Arabidopsis thaliana: one gene and its partner. The protein of the gene in region 1 purifies or fractionates together with the protein of each later gene. This does not show direct contact. Each region holds a gene or a part of one and is shown in the gene's direction. Other genes may lie near its edges.

What was found. The genes of interacting proteins can lie anywhere in the genome.
Region 2: the proteins of AT1G07070 (region 1) and AT2G43460 fractionate together in Arabidopsis thaliana (co-fractionation; one large-scale study listed by BioGRID). This does not show direct contact.

Annotation. Positions count from the first base shown.
Region 1 is NC_003070.9:2,166,754-2,170,513, forward strand, and holds AT1G07070 (Ribosomal protein L35Ae family protein), read left to right. Parts: upstream 1-1,807; 5' UTR 1,808-1,898; coding exon 1,899-1,930; intron 1,931-2,155; coding exon 2,156-2,191; intron 2,192-2,587; coding exon 2,588-2,816; intron 2,817-2,908; coding exon 2,909-2,950; 3' UTR 2,951-3,204; downstream 3,205-3,760. Other genes in the region: DFO (uncharacterized protein), read right to left, coding at 1-101, 453-594, 918-1,061, 1,212-1,419, 1,505-1,644; AT1G07080 (Thioredoxin superfamily protein), read left to right, coding at 3,316-3,597.
Region 2 is NC_003071.7:18,045,415-18,049,128, reverse strand, and holds AT2G43460 (Ribosomal L38e protein family), read left to right. Parts: upstream 1-1,727; 5' UTR 1,728-1,836; coding exon 1,837-1,839; intron 1,840-2,203; coding exon 2,204-2,387; intron 2,388-2,821; coding exon 2,822-2,844; 3' UTR 2,845-3,164; downstream 3,165-3,714. Other genes in the region: AT2G43465 (RNA-binding ASCH domain protein), read left to right, coding at 65-113, 191-248, 332-419, 487-605, 694-819, 935-1,028, 1,097-1,251, 1,338-1,397.

The DNA of each region.
Region 1 (3,760 bases):
CAGATTGCTACCTGTGCAGTCTGGATTTTTAGTGGGTAGAGTCTGTCTGGATTGTATTCTGTGTTCCTTGCTTCTCAAGTACCCTGCACCTTGTGCCTGAACTGTTTGTGATTCGAAAATTACTCAGACCAATCAGATACATTCTAACAGACACTCTGTTAAAATTGGTCGAGTCAGTTTTATATCCTTTATGATGGATCCAAACAATAGTTGGTAGAGTCAGTTTATAAATCATCAATCTTTCCAACCAGTAGATTTCCAAGATTCTATCAAACTCAATGGATTCTCCCATACATAACAGTCACACTACATTGAAGGCATTGAACGGTGGGAATAAAACGAGTAATTTAAGACCAATACTTTAGATAGAGACGAAGAAAGCAATCAAAATGTAGTCAGAAGTCTGTTACAAACAGCAAACTTTAAAGAAGACACGATATAAATGAAAATACCTGAATGTGAAGATGTTAACGAGGCAGCTGAATCCCTTAGTCTCCTTACTTTCTCAGCAGCATCCAAAATGTCAGAATTATCTTCTGATTTTGGTTCAATAAGACTATCCTTCTTAAGGCTCAACAGGGCATTTTCAGACGCCTACGTAAAAACTCATCAAAATGTCATACCTCATAGTAAGAACAAGTCAAAATCAAAAGAAGCAAAGAACCTATCTGATCTGTACTTCCATGTGGGAACAGAAAAATGTAACAAATAACAAATTGCTATGTATCCAAAAAATTGAATAAATTGGTAAAGCAACAATTCCGATCATACAAGCATGAACTTGTTAACACAATTACAAAGTAAACTCACTTTCCAAGAAACATGTACAGAATCTCTAACCATTCCTCTTATGTGAATTTCTCCAACCATTCCCAAAAGCAACGAGATCATATACTACAGAAGGAAGAGTAATTTACCTTTCCTGCAATGGAAGGGAATCCATTTTCCATAGATTGGACTGCAAATTTGGTCCATTCTGAATGTGAAACCCCTAACCACAAACAGCTAGGAGACTTGAGCTGCCGCAAATTCAATGCCTCATACCTCATAGCCAAACAACTCTACTCAACATATAACAACCATATATACATACATTACAGAAAAGTTGAGTAAAGTGCACAAATCCATCTGCAAATCTTCACTCATAATCGAACAAGAAGCTGAAAGATAATTTCGAATTTATTCAAAATCGACAAGGACAGTATACGAACCTCCATATCACCGAGAAGAGCAAAAGCACGAGCGAAGAATTCAAGTACGGAGAGTTTTGCGACCATGGATTCTCCGGTGAGCTCACCGAATATAACAACCGATTCAGATCTCATGAAATCTCTCAATCGAGATCTAACTTCCAAAAACGATTTCACATTCATTGCAACCAGAGACAACTCGAGAATCCGAAGAGATTCTTCATCGAACCTGCACAATCAGTGAGAAGAAACCCTGTTCTAGCCACACACACAAGAGAAATTGAGAATCAGATGCTTCGGATGGATTGAAGAACCTTCTGTCTTGGACCCGATTGATAAAGAGATAAGTCTGATCAGCGATCATCGAATCTGAACATTTTTTCCAGAGAGAAATTTGAGCGGTGTTTCGAATTTTCAATGTGCCCTTTGATTTGAATTTTATGTTATGGCGCATCTTAATTGTTAATTTTGACGGCGCATTATAAGAACTCATTTAAGGACAACATAAGCAAGGGGCCGATAGCCTGACGAGTTGACATTCGGCCCATATGTAGATTTATAGGCCCATTAATATCAAATCGATGACGTTTACTTGCCATCTAATTACCTCCGCGACTGATAAGGATTCGCTTATTAGGTTTTTTTGAGTTTTCGTCTCCGTTTTCTGAAGGCAACTGCTAATTTCTTCCACCGGACGATTCGACAAAAATGGTGAAAGGACGCCAAGGAGAACGTGTCAGGTTGGTTATTCATCTTCTATGTTCTCTAATTCTGTATCTGCTAAAGCTTCACATTGCTCCTGAAATTAGCTGGCATCATTGGCGTTTTTACACTTTCTATGGATCTCGCTTTTAGCTTTTCTCAGCTGGATTTTGGATGTGTTTCAATCTCTGTGTACCAAATTATCTCAACTTTAGTCTTAATTAAGCTTTTGTCTCACTCAATTTTGTTTTTATGTGATGCAGACTCTATGTCAGGGGAACCATACTTGGCTACAAAAGGTGCGCATTGATACATGATTTGTTGTTGTTGTTTTCCACTTTAGTCGTTTTTGTTCTAGCTCCCATAAACAGTGAATCTTGGCTGATAATACTGGTTAATACACTTTTTTTATGACCTCAGTTTAGTTGCTTATAGGATTCAAAAGTTAGTTCCTGAGAAAGTAGACTCACTTGTCTTCGTCCGATCTTAGATTGTTGAATTTGGGAATAGGGTATACAAAATAAGGAGACTATCTTGATTTTGCTTGTTATAGTCACGAGCTCTACGTTTACCAATTGGCAATAAAGTTTTAGCGTATACACTTAAGCAAAACAATCTACCATTTAGTGTTGTTTCTGTTTTGGATCTTGTCAGAATGGTGTCCTTAAACACGTTTTGTGTGTAAATATGTACAGGTCGAAGTCAAACCAGTATCCCAACACGTCACTAGTCCAAGTCGAGGGAGTTAACACCACTGAGGAAGTGTCATGGTACAAAGGTAAAAGGATGGCTTACATCTACAAAGCCAAGACCAAGAAGAACGGTAGTCACTACCGATGCATTTGGGGCAAAGTCACAAGGCCTCACGGTAACAGTGGCGTTGTTCGAGCCAAATTCACATCAAACTTGCCTCCTAAATCAATGGTAATCCAAATCATTTCAGTTATATATGTTTGAAATTGTTGTTATCTCTTTCCTAGCTCTTCTAATACAGTTGGTTGATTGTTTTTTTGCAGGGATCTCGAGTTCGAGTGTTTATGTATCCGAGTAACATTTAAAGCAGTGTGTACTCGTCATCAAGTGGTTTATTATCTGCAAGCCTTTGTTTATGGACCTTGTTTATTATTTGACTCTTTATCCTGAACCTTTTTTGGAGTTAACAATTTTGGTTAAAATGAGCCTTTTTGATAAGTCGAGTTCACAAGTTTACCCAAATTTTGCAAAGCCTGAGCTTACTTTGTGTTGAACTATTGACGGTTACAGAATGAAAGTGAGACACGTGGCTTTCGAAGCTACACGTGTCTGTAATAAATTGGTACCATTGGGAATAGCAATTATCTAATTTCTCTCGGCTCTTTCATATTTATTGAATGTTCTTTGAAGAAGAAGAAGGCGACGACACAAAAACCTTGCATTTGCATCCATGGCGTCGATGCCGAGCAAACTTCTTCCAGTCCTAGTCTGCTACGTTTTTCTTTTCCCCTTTGCATCATCATCTGATTATTCTGGGGTATCTCTTCCATCTTCGTCGCCTAAAGTCTCGGTGGGCCTGTACTACGAGTCTCTCTGTCCCTACTGCTCTTCCTTCATTGTTAACCACCTCGCGAAGCTCTTCGAAGACGATCTCATATCAATCGTCGATCTCCATCTCTCTCCGTGGGGCAATACCAAGCTCCGTTCCGATAACGTCACTGCCGTTTGCCAGGTACTCCTTCGTTTTCTTCAATTTACGAATTCGATGTTTCCGATTCGATTGAATTAAGCTTCAATTTTGAGAAAATCACCCTTTCCTTAACTGAAATTTGATGTTGTTTGCATCTGAGATTGACAAATTGGTCTTCTCTCATTTGCATAAATCTTGTTGCTTT
Region 2 (3,714 bases), on another chromosome or scaffold:
AATATCAAGTGGTAAGAGTTCTTGATCAGATTTTTGGGTTGCTTAATTTAAATGGATATATTAGATGGCATCAAAACAGTTGAAGCAAGGTGTTTTGAAGAAGAGTATGATAGGTAGGAGAAGTGAAAAGTTATTGAGCTGGATTACTTCTGTGTCTCTTGTGTTCACAAATGTTGTTTGGTTTCCTCAGAATTCGGAGAGGAGGTTCAATGGTTATGATAAATAAATGTCTAATGTTTGAAGTTCTGGTGAGATATATTTGCCGACATCATGCTTTTGTGTTCCTGCAAACGATTTCTTGTGATTGATTCTCTTAAATGTTGATATATAGGAACTTCACCAATATGCATCCTTTTACGAGCTGTTGAAAGCCGAGAGTTCAGAGAAAGTGTTTCCTGGCACTAAAACAGTGGAAGAAGGTAAGCTTTTTTCTTTGTCTGATCCTTAGCCATTAACTTCTGTTTCAAAGATTTCAAATTTTTTTAGGTATGCAAATGTTTAGGAAGTTATATGATACGGATCAAGAGAATTTCAATGGTGTTGTGGCAATCCATCTTAGTAAATCAGTTGCTCAGCCTTGTGTTGCTTTGGCTCACATACTGTCTGTGAGTTCAAGTTTTTCTCAGCCTTCTCCTTGTGATTTATGATTCTTATTATTCAATGTTTCTTACAAAAACATCATTTAAATGGCAGGGCTTGAGTTACACTGGCGTGCAAAACCTTCTCGGTCTATCTCACACAACTGGATCCATTTTTCATGCTCTGCCTCCTCCTAGATCGATGCTACTCTCTTCATTCATGCTTCCATATAAGCCAAAGGTACCACAAAAACTAAGATATAGTTCGAGAGACATCGTAGTGAATCTTTTGGGGAATGGTTAAGCTGTGTTGTGTGAGATCAAATTTAGAATCTTTCTTTTTTCCTATTGTTGAGATAAAAGGTTGTAGATTGAGCCATGGAGCTAGAGCATTAGCCAAGCATGTTGATCGAAGTAGCGATGGATTTTGGGGTGTTCTTCAGGGAACTGGTAAGTAACAAATTTTTGCAGGACACTGATGCATTTCCATAATTGAGTCTTCCTCTTCCTTTTCTCAGATTCAGATAAAAATGAGCGTGCAATGGACATAATCAATCGGTTCATTGGCAATTGTTGTTGGATGAACATACATATCGTTCCACCACATGGTGAAGTGTTCGAGATAAGAGTAGCTCAAGGCTATGGAGCACGTTGGTCTCGAGATGGAACCAAAGTATGTATATTTTGAGACTTGAAGTATGTATCTTTCAGACGTGTCTGATCATCAATTGTTTTGTTGCTGTTTATTTTTATTGGCAGTTCATTGGATTTCTTGAGCCTTACATGGAGGATGGTCACTCCATGGCCTGGAAGCATTAAGACCGCACCTGTAAACATCTCTGTGTCTTTAGGACTTTGTGAACTTTCTCTTGTAGTTGAATCGTTTTTTCTTTCAACAAGTGTAAATTTGTAACGCTTCTTTTCTTGTGACAAAAAAAATCAAATTTTTTTTTTTTCTAAGAAGGATTTTGTGGTTGATCTTGTTATGATTAGGGTATGAAAAGAAAATATGAGGACCAAAGTGTTAAGACAAACTGTAAATTGGGCAAAACTGTGAAGGGACATTAAAGCGATATATGATTGGGCCTTAAAGCCCATTGTTTGATAAATCGTCCAGAGGGTAAATATGGAATTTCAGGTTTACGAATTAGGGCTTCTTGATACAAAGTTTTTAAGAGATCTCTTTATATCCTCGCGACGGCGAATTCGCTCGACTCTCTCTGTGGACGGCGGCTAGTTTCAACCAACAGATTCGAGAATGGTACAATATTTCTCGGTCTTTCGATTTCGTTTCATATCGCCGTCATGGATGCTTATGATTTGGTTTTCATAGCTCGTTTGCAATCATTCATAGTGTAGTAGAGCTGTTCCTGTATCTTAAGAGTTTTCTCAAAAAATGTAGATTTTTGTATCATTTTCAGCTTTGATTATTGCTTCTTACTTTGTTTAGGATATAGTGAAACGTGTAGGTTTTAGTGAATTAACCAAAAACCTAGGTCAGAGTTTGCTTAATGTGTTTGATGTGCTGAGCTCGTGTCTGCTTATCATGTGATTAACTTTTGATTGGTTGGGATTATTGAATCTTGTATTGAATTTTGATTGATTAATTTGATTAATGTTTGCAGCCTAAGCAAATCCACGAGATCAAGGACTTCCTTCTGACAGCTAGAAGGAAAGATGCACGATCTGTGAAGATCAAGAGAAGCAAGGATATTGTCAAGTTTAAGGTCAGATGCTCGAGGTACCTCTACACGCTCTGCGTCTTTGACCAAGAGAAAGCCGACAAGCTTAAGCAGTCTCTTCCTCCAGGTTTTTTATTCTTCTTAACTCTGCTCAATTTACATTGTTCTCTACTACACTGCATAAATTCTCACACTTTAGATCATTTTAAAACCTTGATGAAATTTGAGTTTGGCATATGGGTTCGAAACAACCTGTCTTTGCTTAATTACATTGCGTGTGTATTGCAACATTCAACATTATTGGATTCATTATGTTATATGGACTTTAAATATAGCTGTGCCTTGAGTTTCATTGTTTGAATTTTGCTAAGTATTTATGTACGTTAAAGTAAGCTTCTTCATCACACAATTTCCGTTGTAAATTTTTCTGAGTTTGGCATTTGATTGCTAAACCCAGCTTTGCTTTGGCTTTAGTATGTTACTATGTTTTTGAAAAGTATCTTCATTCTCATATCTGTTGTACGCGTGTTCTGAGGTGTGGACTATGTTGCACTTTTTCAGGTTTGAGTGTACAAGACCTTTGAAGATGAAGCAAAGTTCTTCTGCAGATTGGAGTTCCTTTGGTGACGAATCCTTTGCATCATTTTATAATTTCCTTAGGAGAGTTTATTTTGTGTCGTTAAATTTATGTTGAGACTTTTCGAGTTTGAGTGTGTTTTGGATTTAATTCAGTTTGAAAAACCAAATACGTTCTCAACTCTGGATTCAATTTGGATTTTTATTTTCAGACTTGAGAGTTGGTACCTTCTCCATCATTTATAATAACAATCACATTCATTAAATGAATCATAACCAAATTACTCCTTGATCTTAGCACTAACTACGATTTTAGGTTATATACTTTTCGACATATCATTTGAATTATAGCATAATAGTCTCAAAACATGTAAAAACCTCATGATAGCACCAAATTTGCAGTATCATGCTTGAGGTGTTGTTGTTATTCGAAACAATCAAATCCATGGGGACCAGGCCCAATTGGAGCTTGGGCTTTTTGGTATATATATTTGTTGGCCTTTGGTGAATCTTCCTTGATCTTAACATTTTCTCTCTATGCGGTTCTCTGTTCTCTTGTTAATTACTTGTTGTTTCCGTAATGGGCCCAAACGCCTTTAAAAGTCAAATTTATTGCTTCAGAGTTGAAAAAATTCAAAAATCAGATTAGTTTGCACACAAATCATCGCGCCGAGAAGCAGAGGTTAGTTATGAGTCTTAGTTATGGAGTCGCAATTCTAAATCTCCATTTTCCGGGAAAACGCGAGAAACTTTTGTTTTCTTTGAATTTGCTCTCAATTTGGAAACTTATTCTTCTATGATCTTCGGTTACTTAGTTATAGAGTTTCAGTGTAAAATACTCTTGATTCTTTTTCCTCATTATCGCTTGATTGTTCGTT